3 linked regions of the Nothobranchius furzeri genome follow. The main gene of each other region encodes a partner of the protein of the gene in region 2 in a complex. Links are inferred from orthologs where the notes say so. Each region holds a gene or a part of one and is shown on either strand. Other genes may lie near its edges.

Region 1 (6,647 bases), on a different chromosome or scaffold from region 2:
GGAGCCTCTCTGTTTTAGGAGCACTCTTTGTGTGACCTGGTGTTTGACCCTCAACGCTGGCAGGAGGCTGGGCTCTGGAAGGATCCTTGTATACGGATAGGTTGGATCCAAGGCTTAAGGACGATGCTGCAGCATTCAAAAGCTCTTGGCTTCTTTGTGCAAGCAGGTACTGATCACTCTCTGAGCAGATGTTTAAATTTCAGATAGAGATTTTTCTCTTTTTATTAAGTAATTTACATCTCCATGTTTTCCTTCTTCAGATTTGATTGAACCACTCCTACACCTTCACACAGACACAAGCCTATTTGTTGCTTCGGCTGCTAATCACATGCTCGCTCACATCTTGCTCTTCTGTCAGTCTGAAAACTCCCAAAACAACTCAAAACACCTGACTGTTCCCGTGGAAACCAAACAGAATTACAGCACTGTTACCGTGAAGCTTTGCGAGTATCTCAAGAAGTCACTAGTTCTCGACGGAACTTCAGCACTGTTTCAGAGTCATCAGGCTCTCAAAGTGCTCGCCCTGCTCCTGAGCCGGGCCGGGCCAGATCTGAGGGACCGACTGCTGCTGACGGTCTCAGACTCTCTGGAGGAACTGGTGACGACCAACTGCAGCCAGCTCACTCGGTCTCTGATGGATGTTGTTCAGGCTGCACACAGGTGTGCCTCTCTCTGCATGCTTAATGTGTGACTTCATGCACAATGCTTCAGCGTTTTCACCTCCTTCTGCTTGTCTCAGCAGCAGTAAAAGTGAGCATCATGCCTTGAACCAGCGTGTTGATCGCCTTTTGTCCATCATGTTGAACACGGGGAAACCTGCGGACCTCTCTTACACTGCAGCTGCTTTTCTCCGCAGCGGGCATGAGTAAGCTTCACACAGCACAGCTTGACCTTCTGCACTGAGCTGTTGGTTCACCAGTAGAAACCATTAGTGTTTAAAGGTGATAGTGACATGTATCGTTCTCCCCCAGTGACTGTGTCCATAAAGCTCAAGCTGCTAGAGTTCTGCTGCTTCCTCTTGACATCATTACTGGACTCAGTCTGTTGGGACAAAACAGCACAGGTAACCCTTACAGGTGTGTGCATTTTAAGACCGAAATATACTTCATGAATTCTTCCCAATTGTTACTGCAGCAGACAAGCTTCGCCTTCCAATGATGGAGTATCTCAAGAGTAAATCTTCCTGCATCTCCATGATTTGTGCCAGTCTAGCAAACACTCCACAGATCACACTCATGGTGAGTTGAAGGACCAGATAGTGAGGCCATCTAATTCTTAGAAAAGTCTCTTAGGTTTTTCTGTCTCTCCTCCTCAGGATCCCGACTGCCTCCCCTGTCCACCAGTTTTAATTGTATCTGCAGTTTTGTCATTATTGAGGCTCTGCAATGGAGACGGCTCCTCGTCCAGTGGCTGTGCTGAAGCTGGCAGGAACCTTATAGGCAGCGGAAAAGTTCAGAAATGTGCTCTTGATGTTCTGTCGGTCCTCAGCAACAGCTCAGGTACGACAACGGGACAATGTCCAAATGTTCAGGTCCAAACAAATCTTCTGTAACTTTAAACTGTTTCTGCTTCAAGCTGGTTACAAATTTTAAAGGGGACATATTTTGACTTTTTTCTTAAGTTGTATTAATACTTTGGTCAATACAAATCATGTTGAAGAAGTATAAAATCACTCACATAAAGCAGTTTCAGCAGTTCTTGACAGTTTCAGTACCTTCCAGAATGAGCAGTTTCAGGGCTCTGTCACTTTAAGAAAACAAGCTGGAGCTGGCCACGCCCCCCCCCCCCCCACTTTGGCTGCTATTGACCCTTTGCACGTGACATCACGTCTCTCACGAACAGCAGAGAAACTTTGTAGGCATGTTGAAACTCCTGTGAAGCTAGCCTAAACAAGCTAGTTTGTAGCCTTTCATCATCAACAGTTTGCTGCAAAGTTGGCTGCATTATCAAGACAAGGACGTAAACCCATATTGTCCCTCTTTAAAGGGATATTCCACTCAAAAGTGAAAATTTATAAGAACATCACGCAGTGGCTCTAAAGACACCTACTTCCATAACACATTATGTTTGTAATTCGAGAAAATGTACCAGCATTTAGCAGTGTCACGCCAACCCATGTCCTTGCGCCTATTGGCGAAAGCTTATAAATGAACTCTATCATTAAGTAGTCCCAAGTCTGAAATAACGCCTGGAATTCCTTTGTGTTCATTTTATTTCAACATGCAGTTAAGTTAAGTCATGGATGGCGACTAACTTCCTCTTCCTAAATGATTCTAAAACTGGTGTAATAATACCCGGCCCTGGTGAGAGAGCTGGAGCAGGTGATGAGATTGATCTTGATTCCATGACACAATGTCAGAAGAATGTGGTCACTAATTTAGGGGTGAAAATTGATGCACCCCTTTGATTTGATGCACAAATAAACATGGTTGTTCGAGCATGTTTTTTTAATCTGAGACGGCTGTCCAAGACAAAGCCTCTCCTGTCCAGAGTACATCTGGAAACAGCAGAACATGCTTTTATCATGCCCACATCGACTACTGTAATGCATTGTATGCTGGACTGAGTCAAGCTACTACTGCACGACTCCCGCTAGTCCAAAACTCCGCTGCGAGATTTGTGACTGGGACCAGAAGGAGAGACTACATCATGCCAGTGGTAGCTTCTAAGCACTGGCTACCGGGGCAAGATTTAAGATTCTCCTCTATGTGATCAGGGTGCTGCAGGGCAGTGCTCCCCCATATCTTGCTGAACTGTTGCAGCGGCGTGTCCCCACTCGGGCTCTTCGCTCTGCTGAGCAGGAGTGGCTGGAAGTCCCCCGCTCTAAACTCAGATCAAGGGGACCGGTGTCGGTGCAGGATCGGCTCGGGGTCCTTCGACTGCCAATGACGTCAAAGTAGTTGATTGGCTGAACATGAAGCTTACGGAAGTTACGTTATCACATCATGATTTTGATTGGTCAGAACAAATTTGTGGCCGTAGTCTTAGCGGTTGTAGTCCTGTAGTCCAAAAATCAACACTTTTTGGAGAAAATATGTTTGAATTTCTAAAGTAAATGTAAAATATAAGCAAATGATAAACGGTGACCCTCAAAAGCTCTTGATGTTGATGAAAGGGGGCAAAATAAAACATAAGAACTTTATTGAAAGACACCAAGCAACATTTTGAGTCAAAGAATGTATTTAGATAACAACTAAGGAATTATACAGATGAACTCCACGTTAATACAAACAGACGTGGCTTCACATATAAGAACTGTTTGTTTGTCAGTCCGATGTTGGTTTTATGCAGTTTCACATTCTTTACAAAACAAAGATAATATGGTGTTTTATCAACAAATTACAATTATAAAGAAAACATTTAGATGTTAACAAACAAGAATTTATTAACAAAACTGCTGATGTCTTTCCAAAACGTGTGTGTGAAAGCCGAGTAGAGTTGCAGTAATGTGACGTCATCGGCAGTCGAAGGACCCCGAGCCGATCCTGCACCCGAGCAGATCCTGCACCGACACCGGGTCTTCTCAGTAATGACCCCTACAGTCTGGAATGAGCTCCCTCTGGCAGTGAAGCAAGCTCCTTCTCTACAGGAGTTAGTCTCTCCTGAAATCTCTCTTTTATCTACTAGCTTTCCCCAGCATCGTTGACCCTGGCTTTCGTATTTTCACCTTTTGTACTGTATGGTTTTTAATTACTTTTACTTGTACTTTTCTATTTTTTTAATAATTTTTTCTCTCTTTTATCTACTATGTTGTTTTTATGTGCAGTTCAGCACCTTGGGCCTCTGATAAGGTGGTGGTAGGTGCTATATAAATAAATCTGATTGATTGATGATTATTTAGGCCGCTCAATACAATTTGTATCACTACTGAGTGATTTGAACAGACTTTTTTTCCTCACAATGATAGTTGGTCCCATTCGCTTACAGTGTTTTATGCTAAGCTAAAGAAGTACAGCTGGGTCAGGACAATAACTGGGCTGGTTGAAAATGTTTTTTTCCCACTTTTCTAACGCTGGAAAATATGTCAACAGACAAAATGTAACTTTTGGGTAGAGTATCCCTTTAAATTACTTTGATGAAGACCGAAGACGGGGATGAATAGCAGCGGCCAATCAAAGCGCTGACTAGCTGCTTGGACCCACTCTTCCCTGCTTCCATTAGACTGCCCCCCTGCAGCATGGTAGTCCATGTTTGTCCATGTGACCAATCAACCAAGATCAACTAGTTAGTGTCTGCTTATGATTTAAACTAACCTCTGAGCGATGTAAAATATTCACTGGATATATTTCTTATCCTAAAATAATCCTATGCATTTTTGATTGATTCTAGTATAATAAATAATTAACCTAAATTCAAACAAATGTTGTGCATTTTTCCATCTTATTGAGTAAACTGTCTTTAAAACAATGTGTATGAAATAGACCCTCCTGAGTTTGGGAGCAAAATAATTTAATCCGGCTCATTTAAAGTCATCCAGGGCGTGGTAATCCTGTTAAAACAACTAGACTTATTGCTTTGGGGGGGCATAAATGTAGATTTTTGTACAAAAGTGGCTCTGATTTTATCTTGTTTTTGTCTCAGGAGGGAAAGTCCTGCTGGCGGAGGTGTTCACACTTCTCATGCAGTATCTGAACAGTCCTGCTTCTGAGCCCACTGTAAGTTCTTGTGTGTGTTTGATCACCAAAATCCATGTCTTCCATTTTTTAGAGTAGATGATCAACTTCACCACTTTAAATCTGCTTTTAGATTCACGCTGGCTCCAAACGTTGAGCAGTACTGTTGCTGGATGTAGAGGATTTTCTGTACTTCCTTTGCATCAATTTAACTAATTTCTCAGTATGTAACTCTGTGTTTTTCTACTGTATGCTTTGTTTTTACCTTCCAGTACAACATAGGGGAGTATTTAAATGCAAAACAACAAAAAGATGACAAAAATACAGAATTTATCCAATGAATACAAAAGAAAACACGAAATGGGTATAATTTTTTATTTAAACACCATATTTTACAAATGATTCTGACATTTCATTAAATAGTGTGTCTTGTTTTATTGTTTTAATTGTAAATCTGATGCCTTTTGAACTGTTTGTGTACTTTGTTCATGTTAAAGGGCTTCATTGCCTTTGTAGAGCAGCCAGATTCCCCACACTTAAACCCAAAACACACACACACAACACAACACACGCACACACACACACACACACACACACACACACACACACACACACACACACACTTGGGAGAGGCTGGTGTTTTTTGCAGTTTTTGCACAAAAATGGTTGCCTCAGAAACTGATACAAGGTCAAATGAGATATAATTTCAAGAAGAAATAAAGAAATGTTGAAAGAAAGGTTGGTGGACATAAAAATGTCTGCTGTGACTAGAGTATTTATAACTGTGTGCGTGTGGACGGGTGTTTTTCAGGTCCTCCAGAAGTCGTACCGAACTCTGATGAAGTGGATTAGTGCGTGTGCGGATCTCTCCTCGATAACAGACCAGCTCAGAAAAGGTATGCCCCTCTTTGCTGCAGCTCTGAGTTCTGGATCCACATGTGGACAGAAGTGGCGTAACGCTCGTCCGTGTTAGATCTCATCCAGGTGGTGGGAAAGCGTGTGTGTGATGTGCGTTGGGAGGTGAGAGACTCGACCGTGGAGTTTCTGGGACACCTAGCAGGGCTGTGTGACACGTCTGAGGTTCTGCTGGGCGACCGCTGCTTTACCGTTTCTCTCCTCAAGGAGGCACTGCAGGATCCAGAGAGCTACGTGAGAGCCAGCTCCATCTCTGCTCTGGCCCAGACACTGGCACCCAGCTGGCAGCAGGGGGCAGCACCCACACAGGAGCAGGCAGGTGGAAATGGAACTGGTTGTTTTTATCAATAAATAAGATAAAGTGATTGTTCATCACCTTTTTTTTGTCCTTTCAGGTTGAACTTGTGAGTCGGCTGCATGAAATCCTCTCCCAGGACACGGAGGGATTCTCTAGGAGGGCTGTCCTTCAGTACTTTATCACCTGGTTCTCCTTGTGCCCCTCGCCCACCTCCTGCTCACTTCTCATGCAGTCCATGCATGCTGTCCTCTCACAAGGCAGTGCTGATCTAGACTGGGAGGTCAAAGTTCACACTCTGGAGCTGGCTGAGCTGCTGATGGACCGAGTCATCTCAGGTCTTCGTGGTTACTCAAATGAGCCAGGAGCTCATCCTCATCCCTACGCCGTGACGTCTAACAAAGTCTTCAAGCTTCAGTTGCACTCTGAGGCACACACATGGGACGGGGAGTCAGATTTAGTCGGTGTTTTGAGCACTTTGGTTGATCAGGGAGTCTTCTTGGTGCTGCTGGGTGGTCTCGTTGACTGTGACAGGCCTGTTGGACTGAAGGCCTGTCAGCTGCTCATGAGACTCAGAGACTCCGTCTGTCCTCTGTTACTAGGAGACCAAAGGGTCTCTGCACCAGACGAGCCCGGAGTGTCCTGTGAGCTGCCTGGATGTGGCTGGGCCCAGGAGGTCCGGAAAATACTGGGAATCGAGGATGCGGACCCTGCTCAGAAATCTGATGTTGTTGATCCTGGAGATGACCGTAAACCTGAGCAGGGAGGTGTGCGTGATGAAGGTTGCATGGTGCGTGTAAGTGTGTGTGAGGTGCTGAGGTCTC
Region 2 (7,677 bases):
ATACCGCAGCAATTTCCTAATGTTGTGACTTGGCACACATATGGCAATAAAAACTTCTGATTCTGATTCTGAAAGTGAAATGGCGAAGCTTTGTGCAGGACGCAGCAGTGTTTTCTAACTCGTGTTAAACCTTACCCTCCGTAATCCTCCTTACCTGCTGGTTTCTGAGTGGGAATTCCCTCTCTCCGTGCCGTAAAGCTCTGTAGTACATCCACTCCATTAATAAGTCCTCTGGAGCCGAGGCAGATGTTTTTGGAGAATTGCCTTTGGCTCTTTCTGATGCTGGTTTCTCACTAAAATAATACGTCGCTGAGGCAGACTGGTCTCTGAGAAGAGGAGAAGATGACAAAAATTCTGTGTCAGCATGGAAGAAAAGCCCAAACTGGTGGTGGACTCGGCTCTTGTAATTACTATCAAGGAGATTCTGATCTAGAGTGGAAATTAATGCATTTGCGAGGAAAATAAGTAAGTGTGTTGGAAACTACTTCCTTTATGAAACCAGAGCGCTGGTTTTAGCACGTTCTACTGAAACATCCTGTTTCACACGAATGCAAAGAAATCACTAACAATCTGCACCTATGCCAGACTGTGGAGGTCGCCGTGTTCAGACTTGTTCCCAAAGGTCCAATGAAAACCCAATGGTTCTGGTGGAATACAAGAACATCACCACAGCAACATGGTCTGTCTGATGACAGAGACGAGAGTAACATGACTCTCATACGCCTCGGTCTGTGTGACCAACGACAGACCAGCCGTGGCTATTCTCTTCATCTCCATACGTTCCTCTTGTCTCTATACTGAAAAGAAATGTGATGACCTGGTTTGTACCATTGTCTGCACACCCTTTCCACTCCTACTCCACGGATTAACACTGTCACTCGCAGAGGAGACTAACCTTTTGTCATGGCTTGATTGGCTAACTTTGAGCTCGAATTCCCTCAAAATGACATTTTTTTTAGTTTTACAGTTCCCGTTTGGTTCTGCTCCACTAGCGTTTCATCCAAATATGTGCACAAAAAGAACAGATTAGTTTACATTTTTATTTCTGAAATAATTAAAAACAAAAAGAAAATCCCACCTGTGTTCTACTGATGCCACAATAAATCCACGTGAAGCCAGTTCTGCACATATCGCCGAGTACAAAGTCCTAAGTAACACAAATAAAGCTGGTTTTAGTGTCAGTAATGAGTCGATGTGACAGCAGGGGGGAAACTAGCGTGTACCTGAAGGCACCAAGGCCATGGGAGAAAATGACCACAGGGCACTTTTCATTCGACTTGAATGGAGCGTCCATGTAGGCTGGGATCTTAAAAGAACCTGAAATAAACCAGAAACCTTCACGTTACCCTTCTGAACAACAAGAATGATGTGTGAAAATGACCTTGCACAAATGAAACAAACCACTTCTGCTTTCTTCCCGTCTCAAGTGTTACATTATTGCTGCAGAGTCAGGAGCTGAAGAGTGTAAAGTACAGCTTACTATCCTAATGTGTGTGGCAGAGGCACGAGGAGAACATCAGCTTGGTCTGTCCTGAGAGCTGTTGTGGTCAGACATGTTTGCTGTGCTGTGAAAACGTATTTACCTCCTTACAGATTTCTTTTTCTTGTCATATTTCAGAGTAACTGACCTCTAACCTGTCAAACTGGTCTCGCATCCAGTGGAGGAATGTGGTCCCTCTCTTCTTTACTGGATTGTCTGAATTCAGCCACAGGGGGTTTTCCAGCAGGAACGTCTTGTTTAAGGTCAAAAGGTCAAATGTTCTCCTTCAGAACGCTCTGCTACAACAGAATTCAGGGTTCCGTCAGTCGCAGCAGGTGGTCCTGGAGCAGCCCCAGACCATCCCACTACCACCACCGTGTATGGTGCACACGCCTTCCAGAACACTTTTCTCATCGAACATTTTCTCTCAGAGGTCTTTGGGATTATCAAGATGTTGTTGGTAAATGTGAGATGGTCTTTGAGGTTTGATTTGCTCAGCAGAAGTTTTGGTCTCAGAAGCATTTACTCTCACCCGTACCTCTGCTTTAGACATTCTGGGTTCATTAGTTCCTGCATCTCTCTAGAACAGGGCTTGGTGTATTACCACCATTTATAATGATGGATTAGATTTATATAGCCCTTTTCAGAGAATCCACCTTCCTCCTCACTCAGCTGGTGATAAATATTTGAGTTTTACAAAAAAAAAAAAAAGAAATTTGTAAGGAGATGAATGCTGACCTCAGTAAGCGCTGCTCACGTTTAAACAGCAGCAGAGAAGCGGATCTATTTGAATTTGCTTTAAATATCTCTGTAAAGGTCATTCTATTGGTTTAGTGTCAATGAAGAATAGTCAGGTGAGAACTAGATGAAATGCAAATGAAATAAAAACGTGTTGGATTCTGTTGCGTATTTCAGAGGCGGTTTACTCACCAAAGAGGTGGTCGAAAATCCCTTTACTGAGACTCCTGTTGATCTTCATGAAGTCTGCCAGGCCGTTAAAATACTCTCTACACGGGACCCAGTCAGGTTTCTCTGCCTTTTCTGTCTCCTGGCACGGATAGTAAAGTCTGAAGAAGCTGCCCTGTTGGCAACACACACACACACGCACACACACCTCTGAACATCTCAGCCTAAATATCTCGATCATGATTCTTTTCCAGACAGCCAGGTGAAAGTAAAATAACAAAGTAAAATGCAATTCAGTAGAAAAACGAATAGAGACCAGTTTGCCTAAGCAAATCTGACACCTACACAGATTAGTCAGGTGTGGGCGTGTTTTCTCATCTCACCTTTGCAGTGTGATCCATCATGAAGTCTGTGCATCCCACAGCGTTGGGACCCTTAGCAGGAGGGATCCCTAGATGAGTGCAAGAGTTCCCCATGGCCAGCGAGCCTGGTGTGTATGTTTGTGCTCACACACACACACACACACACACACACACACACACACACACACACACACACACACACACACACACACACACACACACACACCTCATTAGAAAACGCAGCATGACATGACCTTACTGGAAAATGACGTCCTGTTATGTATTATCAGCATTATGACCAAAGGTCACAACACACTCACGGTCTAAACTGTTTCAGATCAACAGAGATTTTCTTAAACTTTTTAAAGACGAATGTCAAACTGCCCCTTAACTTTTCTTGTTTACTCAACATTAGCAGATGTTTTAATTAACTAGTAAAACCAGTGACTGATGTTACCCACCTGTCCTCCTTGTCCACTCAGACTGTCGACCCGGCGTGTCGATGCTGTTAGCTACGGAAACATGTTGGAATAACAACAACTTAAAACCAGGTCTACCGGAAGTACAGACGTGCGATGGGCGGTCGTGTTGCTACATCAGAGATGTGTCATCAGAATGACATTCCTCAGAAACCCAATAATAAACCTGCACCCGTGTGACTCACAGCGTTTAAACCTGTTTGTGGCTGACAGCGAAACAAGACCACGTGACCCTTCCGCCTTCTCCTATTTGTTAACCTCTAGCAGTCAGCTCATATTGTTCTTTACTATTTTTATCAATATGCGAGTCACTTTATGTCCTACACAACCGTTATAAACACGTATACTATATTTGTGAACACATTTACGTGAACTGGCTAATTTAATCCATTAGCATAGCCATTTCGACGAGAGGAAGGTTGTCCTCCGAGTCGGGAGAGGGCAGCAGAGAGAAATCTCTCAGGAAAACAGCCGAGCATCAACAAACCAAAATGATGGCGTGTTAGCAAAGCCGGCTGTTTTGGACACATTTATTACTTCGTCATTAAGTTAAAATGAAGTTGGTGAGTAGAGAGCTCGGATTTTATGAGGCATATTATGCGTGTGCGAACCAAGTTTGTTAGAAGTTCTAAAAACAGAAAGCATCCAGATAACCGTGTTTGCTAGCTAGCTAAAACCAGCCTGTGGTTATAGTGGAGCTGCTAGCAGCACGACTACTTAATGAAATAAGTTTTGTTTGCAGTTAGGATCAAATGAAAGTACAAATTAAAATATTATTTTGATGATCTGTGTTTGTTTCATAAAGGTGCTCTCGGTGTTTATTCTTTTGCAGTATTGTTTGTCTGGTCACCCCACATTGCCTTGCAATGTCCTCAAGTTTAAGTCCACCACCATCATGCTGGACTGTGGACTGGACACGACCTCAGTCCTCAATTTTCTTCCCCTTCCTCTGGTACACAGGTGAGATACCATCGTCCATATGTGTGAATGGCGTTAGGTAAAGACTCATGATGATTTTATCTTCTAAAACATCAGCCCAAGGCTCTCCAAGCTCACAGGCTGGACCTCAAAAGATGGAACGGTAAATCTGGAAAAGGTACATTTAGTTGAGAATATTTTCCCTCCAGCATAAGATGTAGCCATGCAAATGAAATGCAAATACGATGTTTGTCTCTACAGGAGCTGAAGGAGTGTGCTGGAAGGGTGTTCGTGGACTCCCAGCCAGAGTTCTGCCTCCCAGAGGTAGTTGAACCAGATTACTGTTGTGATAAAACAGGCATATTTTCCTAATCTAGATAAACAAAGTGGGAGAGTTACAGTTATCTTACTTCTCTGCTGTTTGTAAATGTAATCAGTGACAGTAGGAACAGATTGTGATGAACAGAACTACACCTGAGGTCTGCCCTACTAATACTAATCACAGAGAGAACTGCTGGACCTGTCAACCATTGATGTGATTCTCATCTCCAACTACCACTGTATGATGGCGCTGCCCTACATCACTGAACACACGGGCTTCACAGGAACGGTGTATGCCACCGAGCCCACCCTGCAGATTGGCAGGTAAACATTTTTTATGCTTTTGTAAAAAATCTCAGCTACAAACCCAAATTCTTATCAAAACCCCTCAAGAGGTTTTGTTGCTTGGATTGAAAAATATTTGATTAGCTATCTGTGTAAAACTTGGTTTTCCAGGCTTAACATTTAATTACAGATTGTTATTGTTTTTTTATAAGATGCAGAATAACTGCGAGGCGTGTTTTGGGAGGTGCTTCGTCAAAGGTTGCTCTATTCTGTAAATCTGAGGAGCTGAGATGCATTCAGACCAGGTGTTTAGGGGGGGCGGGGGGGGGGGCGGCTTTGTTGTGACTTAAGACACCAATATATCAGACATATAAATTATATTAGATTCTTTTTAATGTGTTGGGTTTGGGCTCTAACAGAAGCAACATTCAATCTCCTATTTCCTGATGGCTCTTGCTTCCTCAGGCTGCTGATGGAGGAGCTGGTAAACTTCATGGAGAGAGTTCCTAAAGCCCAGTCTGCTACCTGCTGGAAGAACAAGGACCTGCAGAGGTGGGAGCAGCTGGGATTCATTTTATTTGATTTATTAAAGGCAGATAATAACAGGAAAATAGGACTAAAATGTTTTCACAGCCCGAGTTTGTAACCATTGTCTTGCTTAATGTCTTCGATCATAGAGTCAAAAATTACTAACATACGAAAATACGTGTGTAAAAATCCACCTGCCAACAAGCAAACTAATAAATACATGACATCAGCCTCTGGATACCATCTGACAGAACATGATTAGTTAATTTATTCATGAATCTATTTGACTTCTGAATATAATTTGTACCTAAGAGTTAGGAGTGGGATTATTTGAGCTCCTTGTATTTTGGGTCATCTTGGTACTTTTAAAGCAAAATCGATTTTCTACTAACTAATTAATAAAAACATTGCTGGGCTGGAGTCACAGCTTTGACACAAGGATGTTTGTGGAATTATTGGAACAGTACTCAGAGATGAAAAAGACCTAGACCTCTGACTCTTACAGTAAAGAGTACAAAAACCTCAGAAAACAAATAAAACTATAATTTAATGAACAGATTTAGTAGTTTTGTACCAAAGGGTCTGAAGTGGTTCAAAGGCAGAAATTCACATTAGTCCAAAAGACTAAAGCTTCCATCTGATTTAAGATAATTTGTTTTTCATTAATTCCAGTCCAGTTAAGTTCCAGTTTGGTTAAAAGTCTAATCAGACTGGTTTCTAGAGACAGACAGAAGCTTGTTTAGGTGATATTAGGTTGTCGGCTGATTAACTCTTCAGACCGACTCACAGAGAAAACTTTAAAGGTTCCTCAGAGAACGAGTGCTGTGACATCCTGGACAGAATATTGTATCTCTTCCAGAAAGACTTGAGGTTGACTTTGAGTCAGGATCAGATCACTGACACGCTCATCCCTTCCTGCTGTTACCCCTGAGAGGCAGGGTCACGTGTGTTTATTTATACCATCTTTATATTTTTATCTGTTCACTTCAACTGCAGTAGAAAATAAACCAATCACAACACAAACGCAAGTTATTGTGATAGAAAGGTGCTCCTGCATCATCAGGGTTCTACTGATGCTCCTGCATCATCAGGGTTCTAACGCTGCTCCTGCATCATCAGGGTTCTAACGCTGCTCCTGCATCATCAGGGTTCTAACGCTGCTCCTGCATCATCAGGGTTCTAACGCTGCTCCTGCATCATCAGGGTTCTAACGCTGCTCCTGCATCATCAGGGTTCTAACGCTGCTCCTGCATCATCAGGGTTCTAACGCTGCTCCTGCATCATCAGGGTTCTAACGCTGCTCCTGCATCATCAGGGTTCTAACGCTGCTCCTGCATCATCAGGGTTCTAACGCTGCTCCTGCATCATCAGGGTTCTAACGCTGCTCCTGCATCATCAGGGTTCTAACGCTGCTCCTGCATCATCAGGGTTCTAACGCTGCTCCTGCATCATCAGGGTTCTAACGCTGCTCCTGCATCATCAGGGTTCTACTGATGCTCCTGCATCATCAGGGTTCTAACGCTGCTCCTGCATCATCAGGGTTCTACTGATGCTCCTGCATCATCAGGGTTCTAACGCTGCTCCTGCATCATCAGGGTTCTAACGCTGCTCCTGCATCATCAGGGTTCTAACGCTGCTCCTGCATCATCAGGGTTCTAACGCTGCTCCTGCATCATCAGGGTTCTAACGCTGCTCCTGCATCATCAGGGTTCTAACGCTGCTCCTGCATCATCAGGGTTCTAACGCTGCTCCTGCATCATCAGGGTTCTAACGCTGCTCCTGCATCATCAGGGTTCTAACGCTGCTCCTGCATCATCAGGGTTCTAACGCTGCTCCTGCATCATCAGGGTTCTAACGCTGCTCCTGCATCATCAGGGTTCTAACGCTGCTCCTGCATCATCAGGGTTCTAACGCTGCTCCTGCATCATCAGGGTTCTAACGCTGCTCCTGCATCATCAGGGTTCTAACGCTGCTCCTGCATCATCAGGGTTCTAACGCTGCTCCTGCATCATCAGGGTTCTAACGCTGCTCCTGCATCATCAGGGTTCTTCCTGGGCCGCTGAAGGAAGCTGTTGACGTGTGGACGTGGAAACGATGCTACAGCATGCATGAGGTCAACTCAGCTCTCAGCAAAGTGCAGCTTGTCGGTTATTCTCAGAAAGTGGTGAGTAGGGGTGTGTGTGTGTGTGTGTGTGTGTGTGTGTGTGTGTGTGTGTGTGTGTGTGTGTGTGTGTGTGTGTGTGTGTGTGTGTGTGTGTGTGTGTGTGTGTGTGTGTGTGTGTGTGTACTGGCACCATTTCTCTGGACATTGATACAGATTTGTATGTGAGGCTGTAGCCACACTGCTCATGTTTTTGCTCAGATAGAACCAACCGTCCTCATCATTGTGGGACCCACA
Region 3 (7,743 bases), on a different chromosome or scaffold from region 2:
AACAAGAGCTTGTCGATACATCAAAAGAATGAGGATGAATGTGGTCATAATGAAATGAAATGAACATTTGATGTGAATTTGTGGATCCAAATTGAGCAATTACTCCTTAAGACGTAAGGAGAATGAGAATCTGATCAATGGGGGTTTTAGTTCTAACAGAACTCGGGTATAAATCACACTTTATGTCATCGAGTGGAAAAAGCTCTTACCAGATACTGATGAATGCACGGCAGCAGCACCACATCAGTCAGAGTGAAGTAGAGTCCCTCAGCAAACACGTGCTCTAGTGGAGGCAAAGCTGTGGTCTTGACTTTTCTGATCTCAGAGCTCCCTCTAGTGGCCGCAGCTGGAGCTGAATCCACAGAAAGTTTGGCCAGGGCCGCCCTGAGCTCAAGACCATCAGAGGTCTGAGACGACGGCCCCAGAGAGGCTTCACAAATCTGCTTCTCCTCGTTTTCTCTCAGCCTCTGCTCCTGTAGTTTCTGTCTCCGTATTTTGTCATCGTTGTGGACTTTGACTGGTTCGGCCAGCCGCTGCTCCAGGGTGAGGATGGAAGGAGGCAGTCGGTTCACCTGGTTTGTGGGATTTAGGAGATGTTCCTCGACAGCAGAGGGGATACCAATTTCACACAGCCTGGTCCACTTGCTCACCTAAAAGCAGGAGAAGGTGAGATGTTTCAGATGAAGTGCAGTACCTTCGTTAGAAGTGCTTACAAATTCGCCCTAAATTCAATTGTTGCTTTTTTTATTTTCAGAATAAACTATTTCAGATCATAAACACTGTTAAATATATCAGGGTTGGAGGACCTAAGGAGTGGAGACACATGCAGCCCTTGGATGTAAGCTGGACAATGTCCTCGCGGCGTTGCCTGTGTTAGTGCGCAAGATGGATGTCATCTTGGAGAGGGTCGCCGGACGGTGTGAGAATGTTTAGAACGTATAATTGGCATCACTGGTGGACATGAATGACCACTTATAGACTCCAAGGCAGAGAGGAAAATTATCTCTGTCTGCCCTAAACAAAGTCTTGTTTATCCTTATCTGACGCCAAGGCTGCCATCAACACACCCCCACGAAAGGAGGAATGCTGACAGATGCTGTGTCCCGACCTCCCCCCCCCCCGCCTTCGGATTGTGACTTCTGCTTCGAGGTCAGCAACCTGCAGGAAACTCAATGTGCTCTCTGTCCCTCATTTCTCCCTCCAACCTGATTGTCTGCAGCTGGCTGAGCGCCGTAATGGCAGCTCCCGTTGGAGGATTCAGGATCCCGCCCAACCCCGCCTCCCCATCGGACTCTGATGTTTTGTATCTGTGATGTTCGTGCTTCTATGTTGAGGAGTTTTTTTTTTTTTTGTATAATAGAGTTACTCCCCGCTGGGTCTAACTCTGCTATGCCTTTTTTTTTTACCTTACCCCAATTATCCTCATGTACCACTTATCTCTATTAAGGTAGCGCGACTCAGGGTTGTGAATGACCACAGTCACCAGTTCTTGTCATGTGTCTTGCCCATGTATGTCTAATCTCTGAATTGTGTGTACTGAAACTCTAATTTCCCTCTGGGATCAATAAAGTATCTTTGATTTGATCTTGATCTTTAACTGCACAGAAACAATAGATCACATTATGGTCCATGCCCTTTACGAAGCTCAGGAAGGGTCTTTCGTTGTTTCTATATGCTTCTGCACTGGTGTGAATGATCTACAGCATTTTATGTCACTGCTGATTAATTAATGTAACTAGTCAGACACTGAAGACCATTTCCAGTGTAAGATGGTACTGATGATTGCTCAAAAGTATATTTTACTTTTCAGGATCTGATCATCATCCTCATGACTCATGATGCTGGCACTCTGCATCCTACCATGAATCAGATTTTAGACATATTTTTAAGTTGCCTCACGCAGTTCTGCAACTTTTATTGCCTGACTTTGTATTGATTTATTCAAACTACAGATATTGAGAATGTGAGCTCCCATCATCACCTTTGAGGGGACACAAAGCCTCTGAACTGCAATAACTGAGAGGTTCGCCTTTAGTTTTTAACTCAATAAGATGCTATTAATGCAATTTTACATTATGATGTAAAAATTGCACCTCCACGTCAGAAATAGACCAATATATTTGTTGGCCGACATATTTTTATAAATCAGCATCAGCTGATACACCCGTTTAGAGGGGCCGATTTAAAAACTGAAACAGCCACAGGCAGTCCAGTGCTGCTGCAGGATTTTATTTAAATGTGCGTGTGTGTTCCTGATCTACTTAATAAATGTTTAAAAACATTCTTCTTAACTGAAGTATTTTTTGTTTACCCGTTTTTATTTAAGACTTGGTCAGTTTATGATTTGTTCGATTACCTTTGGCTAAATGTTTGATTTTAATACGAGCGGTGCAAAAAAAATTAAGATACAAGAGTTGTTTAAATTCAGAGTTCAACAACGGATCCATGTTCAGAAACGTTGTGCATCATGTTTTTGTCAGTGACATCTAAGCATGCAAATAAGGTGGAAAATGTCGAGTTATCGGCCGCGAACATCGGTAGCAAATATCGGCCATCAGCTGACCATGACCCCCATATATCAGCATCAGTATCAGCATCTGAAAACCCCATATCAGTGGATCTCTACACCTGATTTCCCCAGACACCCAAAAGCTGACGCTTGTCTCCCACTGACCTCCGCACAGGCCTTCAAGCAGGTTTTTTTGAAACCCAGCAGCTCCAGAACATCCTTCCTGGAAGGGTCTTCCTCAGTGGTTTTGATGATAATGTGCCTGAGCACCACGGCTAGTCCTGCCCTGCACAGGCGCCCGCTCTCATCCACCGCTGCCGGGAGACGGCAGCTCCTCACCAGCTGGGGCAGATCCTCCAGCTGGACCCAGCTGACACCAACAGGCACTGGGAGCTGGCTCCTGAAAGCGTCCGAGCAGCTACTGGTGTAAACCATGAACACTTTGAAGGACTTGCACTCGCAGTATGATAGGAGAAACATAACTATGGACGTGTGCAGGGGGAGACGCAGCTCCTCGTTCTGGGAACAAACCTCTAAGAAGAGGGAGAGATGTTGCTCTTTTTTCTCGTTGTGCTTCATTGTAAATAAACTAGAAGGACAGTAAAACAATCAGTTAGTTTTATCATTGTTTTAGTGTTCTCTGTTGGTACTTTTACGTCTAGATTACTTAAATTCAACATATGACCCAAGAAAAATGACTTACCTGAAACAGGCGGACCGGTGTGTTTTGGTGATTCTTCTTCTGCTGTTTTTTCACTAGCATAGCTCCACAGCGCCGCCAGCGGTCTTCTCAAACGTTTCAAAACTCTCTTCATGAAAGAGTAACACCTATGTACAAAATATGTACCGCAAAGGAAAACATACGTGGGATGAATACTTATTTTATTATAACCAAAATAGTATAATAACCACGCGAACGCGAATACAAATTTCGCAAAACGTTCCGCCCTTGCAGACTCCGGACATATTTGTCGGTTACTCAAATGTGAAGACGAAACGCCGACGGAAGTGTTGCTCAGTTTTCCGTTGTTCAATAGAAAGAAAATATTCCGGTAAAACAGAAAATACACCCAGTCTCGGGTAAGCCTGTGTTTATGATAATTATGAGCTTCAATTTTAGAATTATAAAGCGACCTCGGTAACTACCGCGGTGCTTCTGTGGTTGTAGTCCGTCTTCCTGTTTTTACTCAGAAACCAAATATTTGCCAATGTTTAAAGTCATTCACAGCAGTTGGATCGGTGGGACTCGGCTTATAGGCGCCGGCAGTTCTTTTTACTTTGATGAAATGATACTAATTCACAGCATTACGTGAATTGTTATTGTTTGATTTCTAGTGGAAGCGATGGCTGGACCTGTCAGTTTGGAGCTGGATCCCATCTTCCTAAAAGGACTGAGTTATCTACATTCCAAGAGCAAAGATTCAGCTGAGAAGCTCAAAGCTCTACTTGATGAGTCCCTTGCTAGAGGCAGCGATTCCTCTTATCGCTCTTCACAAAAAGTAAGATAATTCATTCTCATATACACTCACCTAAAGGATTATTAGGAACACCTGTTCAACTTCTCCTTAATGCAATTATCTAATCAATCAATCACATGGCGGTTGCTTCAGTGCATTTTGGGGTGTGGTCCTGGTCAAGGCAATCTCCTGAACCCCAAATGCCACGGGCTACCTGAGCATTGTTTCTGACCATGTCCATCCCTTCATGACCACCTTGTACCCATCCTCTGGTGGCTAATTCCAGCAGGATAATGCACCGTGTCATAAAGCTCCAGTCATTTCAAACTGGTTTCTTGAACATGACAATGAGTTCACTGTACTACAACGGCCCCCACAGTCACCAGATCTCAACCCGATAGAGCATCTGTGGAACGGGAGCTCCGTGCCCTGGATGTGCATCCCACAAATCTTCCATCAACTGCAAGATGCTATCCTACCAATATGGGCCAAGATTTCTAAAGAATGCTTTCAGCACCTTGTTGAATCAATGCCACGTACAATTAAGACAGTTCTGAAGGCGAAAGGGGGTCAAACACCGTATTAGTGTGGTGTTCTTAATAATCCTTTAGGTGAGTGTAGAGAAATCCCCTTAAAGAGCAAGTCACCCCCTACCAGAGTCTTACTCCACTCCCACTTCCTGTTTGAAAAATGCAACAAATGCTGTTACCTGGCAGACCGAGGGGGTGGAGCCACTAACAAATACACACACAGGCTCACAATGACTTTGTGACATCATAATGTACTTCTTAGACAATAGCAATGGCAGAGTTTTTACCTGAAGACGACGTAACACTGACAGTTTTAGGCAGATTATTTAAATTTATCTAAGATGCACCAAAGTGCCAAGTTATTGACTACAAGTGTCTACAGCATGATTAGACACTCATTTATATAGTTTATCAGCAAGAAAGAAATTTGGGGGGGGGGGGGGGGGGGGGGGGGCTGACTTGCTCTTTAATGTCATTCGTATGACATTGTTTTAAAACCAAGTGCTTGTGCCTTCTGTGTGATTGTTTTGTCCTCAGGAGGTGGAAGTGTCAAAGGCATCCGTGTCAAAGCTGAGTTTAAGTAAAGAGCCCAAGTCTTCAAGTTCTTCTTCTGGCAGCAGCGGTGGAAGTAGTAAATCCAGCTCAGAGAAAGGCAAGAAAGAAGGCGAGAAGAGGTCATCAGAGAAGGTGTGGAAGACATTTTTCCAATTTTTACTAATGATCCCAGTAATCTGTGTCGTGTTGCTGTTCAATTGGGAAGTAAAAGTGCACAAATGAATGAAAAGTGCATATTATATAACTCTAAAGCTTTAAAGCAGAATCCGATTTAAATATGTGATCAGGTGTTTTTTGTTTGTGTGATTTAGTCAAACTTCCTTTTGTATTTTGCTGAAAAACAGGCCAGGGTTGACGTGAGCGAAGTGGACCCCCCCAAAAAGCCTCGTTTAGAGAAACAAGAGAACCGCTCCTCTCCAATCACATTTCAGACGAGCAAAGACCTCCTACCAAACATAAACGACTACGACGAGACAAACGCTGACGACTTTGCCATGGAAATGGGTCTGGCCTGCGTGGTTTGCAGGTACGAGTAGCCAATCGTGTAGATTTGTCAGCATGTTATTCCCTCAAATTAATCAGATCACCATTTTAAGCAGAAATTCAGTCTTTTTTTTTTAAATAATTAATTCTCTCAGACAAATGACGGTGACCATGGGAAACCAGTTGGTGGAGTGCCAAGAGTGTCATAATCTCTACCACCAGGACTGCCACAAACCTCAAGTGACTGATAAGGAAGTGAATGACCCACGGCTTGTGTGGTATTGTGCCCGTTGCACCAGGCAAATGAAACGGATGGTGAGGAAAATCAAGTCACGATCCTGCATCACCTTTTTAATGATGAACTAACTTGTTTGTTTGTTTGTTTGTTGACCAGGCTCAGAAGCCTCCTCAGAAACCATCCCCTGCATCTGCATCTTCAGCACCGGTTGTTAAAGACCCGCTGGTGAAAAAGACAGAGCTGAAGGCTAAAACCGATACAACCAGCACCTTCCAGGCCTTCAAGAGGACAGAGGTGAAGGTGTGTGTGAGTATTTTAATTAAAAATGACATCCTCAGTCTTGTTTCTACTAACCAGTAAGGGGTTTAGAGGTAAGAAAAGCAACAGGAACAGTTCCTTTTCTTTCCTTAATTGTTTAGAAGATTTGTTTCTGCGTTTGGATTCAGACAATATGGCAGTTTTAGTGTCAAATATATTCAATCTTATTAGTTTAAGACCTTTTAGGGATCATTTACCAATTAGAATACATTTGTTTTAAGTTAATAAAATAGAAATTAAAATACTAACCCAAAGTACCGTACCATGAAATCAGTTTTATCACCTTTTAAAAGCCTTTTAGTAACCAGCTATTTCCTGCTATAAAACCACCTTAAAAGAAAGCATTAGTAGAATTTAGTAACCCTAAATATTAGTTATGAATTCAAAAACATTACGTATAAAATTGCAGACTCATTCCTGCTCATTTGGTTTCTCTCTCCCTGATTGGGTGCAGCCACCTGCCACTTTAGCCAACCCCACCAACAGCGGCGCCTCGTCCTCGGGCAGCGGCCTCACAGGCTGGGCCGCGTTTGGAGCCAAAACCAACCCATCCCTTCCTGCTACCTCCAAACTGGCTTCCTCAGGCCCGAGTGGGAGCAGCAAGAGCATGGCAGCTCCCGCTCAGAAACCTGCCGGGCTGCCGGGGCTCACTGGAGCCAAGTCAGGACTCGGTAGTGCAAAAGCTGCTGGGAACAACAACGGAAATGGCTCCAGTCAGGTAACTCTGAAACCTCCTCCACCTTTGACCCTGGGTAAGCAGTCGCTCAACCGTTCATCGAGCGGCGACAACCAGGGGAAAGGCTCTGTGTCAACTGGCGCCGGTTCTCCGGGTAGCTCCCAGACCGGAGGGAACGGAGGAAGCAACGGAGGGGGCAATGGGAACAACGGGAATGGGTCAAAGGCTGCGCCGGCGGACAAAGCGCCGACTTCTCAAGAGTCCCAGCTGAACGCCATGAAACGTTTGCAGCTGGTCAAGAAGAAAGCTGCACAGAAGAAACTTAAGAAATGACCAAATAAGGAGGAGGAAGTGAGCAGACGTAAGAGGAATCGGTGCCAGAAGGCGTCTTCACATGGAGCAGCATCATCCAGTCCAATACTTGAACATTTGTTTTCTTTGTGTAAAGGCTGCTGGACTCTGTGCCTCTTTTCTCCGTACAAGCTTTACCAGTGGAAGAAGTGTCACTTTTATCAATCCTGTCATGAAATCTTCTCTTCTTACACAGAAACCAGCATGTGAGTCGATACATCCCAAAAGAACAGTCACATCACAAAAGTTGAGTTTATTGATGATGTAACCGATAGACATTTGTCAGGATAAATACAGAATAAACGTATGTTTTTATAGAAAACTTTTATATAAATCTTCTCATATTTGTAATCACACTTATAAAATCTCTATGAATCAGTTCACATATTAGATTATCTTCATGATTGCATCACTTCATTGATATAAACAACACTGAAGTACAAAAAGTGCTCAGGAAAGTGCACTGGCATTTGAGACGAGGGTTATTTCACCTACATTCATACCAAATCATTGGAAACATCCATGTAAAAACTAAACAGCTTCTCAATCGACATGAGACCATATAATAACATTAGGAGAAGGTCAGTTTTATGTTCACAAACCAAGTGTTGTAATGAAAGGCACGT

What was found.
Region 1: the proteins of ints9 (region 2) and brat1 are in contact, whole or in part, in a cryo-EM structure (PDB 8UIB), measured with the Homo sapiens proteins. The link is inferred for Nothobranchius furzeri from reciprocal best matches to the Homo sapiens genes INTS9 and BRAT1. Residues at the interface, in NP_060720.2 of Homo sapiens: Gly276, Met277, Gly279, Glu280, Cys282, Ser283, Asn284, Ala286, Leu287, Arg290, Asn291, Tyr315, Asp317, Ser318, Ala319, Gly320, Ser483, His484; in NP_689956.2 of Homo sapiens: Ala406, Pro407, Cys416, Pro460, Gln506, Lys507, Arg508, Cys510, His511, Pro512, Arg517, Glu545, Leu549, Gln552, Asp556, Pro557.
Region 3: ints9 (region 2) and ints12 share a complex: the UniProt entries of both Homo sapiens proteins name them as parts of the integrator complex. The link is inferred for Nothobranchius furzeri from reciprocal best matches to the Homo sapiens genes INTS9 and INTS12.

Annotation. Positions count from the first base shown.
Region 1 is NC_091744.1:16,244,274-16,250,920, forward strand, and holds part of brat1 (BRCA1-associated ATM activator 1), read left to right. Parts: intron 1-18; coding exon 19-166; intron 167-260; coding exon 261-660; intron 661-739; coding exon 740-865; intron 866-971; coding exon 972-1,063; intron 1,064-1,134; coding exon 1,135-1,238; intron 1,239-1,315; coding exon 1,316-1,499; intron 1,500-4,581; coding exon 4,582-4,655; intron 4,656-5,424; coding exon 5,425-5,509; intron 5,510-5,586; coding exon 5,587-5,843; intron 5,844-5,923; coding exon 5,924-6,647. UniProt on the Homo sapiens protein: Component of a multiprotein complex required for the assembly of the RNA endonuclease module of the integrator complex.
Region 2 is NC_091742.1:17,897,863-17,905,539, forward strand, and holds the start of ints9 (integrator complex subunit 9), read left to right. Parts: upstream 1-3,652; 5' UTR 3,653-3,781; coding exon 3,782-3,790; intron 3,791-4,059; coding exon 4,060-4,187; intron 4,188-4,262; coding exon 4,263-4,323; intron 4,324-4,406; coding exon 4,407-4,469; intron 4,470-4,650; coding exon 4,651-4,790; intron 4,791-5,216; coding exon 5,217-5,303; intron 5,304-7,322; coding exon 7,323-7,443; intron 7,444-7,677. Other genes in the region: pla2g7 (platelet-activating factor acetylhydrolase), read right to left, coding at 155-326, 1,079-1,147, 1,224-1,317, 2,411-2,561, 2,770-2,862. UniProt on the Homo sapiens protein: Component of the integrator complex, a multiprotein complex that terminates RNA polymerase II (Pol II) transcription in the promoter-proximal region of genes.
Region 3 is NC_091746.1:80,672,763-80,680,505, forward strand, and holds ints12 (integrator complex subunit 12), read left to right. Parts: upstream 1-3,462; 5' UTR 3,463-3,589; intron 3,590-3,844; 5' UTR 3,845-3,852; coding exon 3,853-4,008; intron 4,009-5,033; coding exon 5,034-5,183; intron 5,184-5,395; coding exon 5,396-5,577; intron 5,578-5,689; coding exon 5,690-5,849; intron 5,850-5,928; coding exon 5,929-6,078; intron 6,079-6,544; coding exon 6,545-7,099; 3' UTR 7,100-7,451; downstream 7,452-7,743. Other genes in the region: gstcd (glutathione S-transferase C-terminal domain-containing protein), read right to left, coding at 210-650, 2,675-3,088. UniProt on the Homo sapiens protein: Component of the integrator complex, a multiprotein complex that terminates RNA polymerase II (Pol II) transcription in the promoter-proximal region of genes.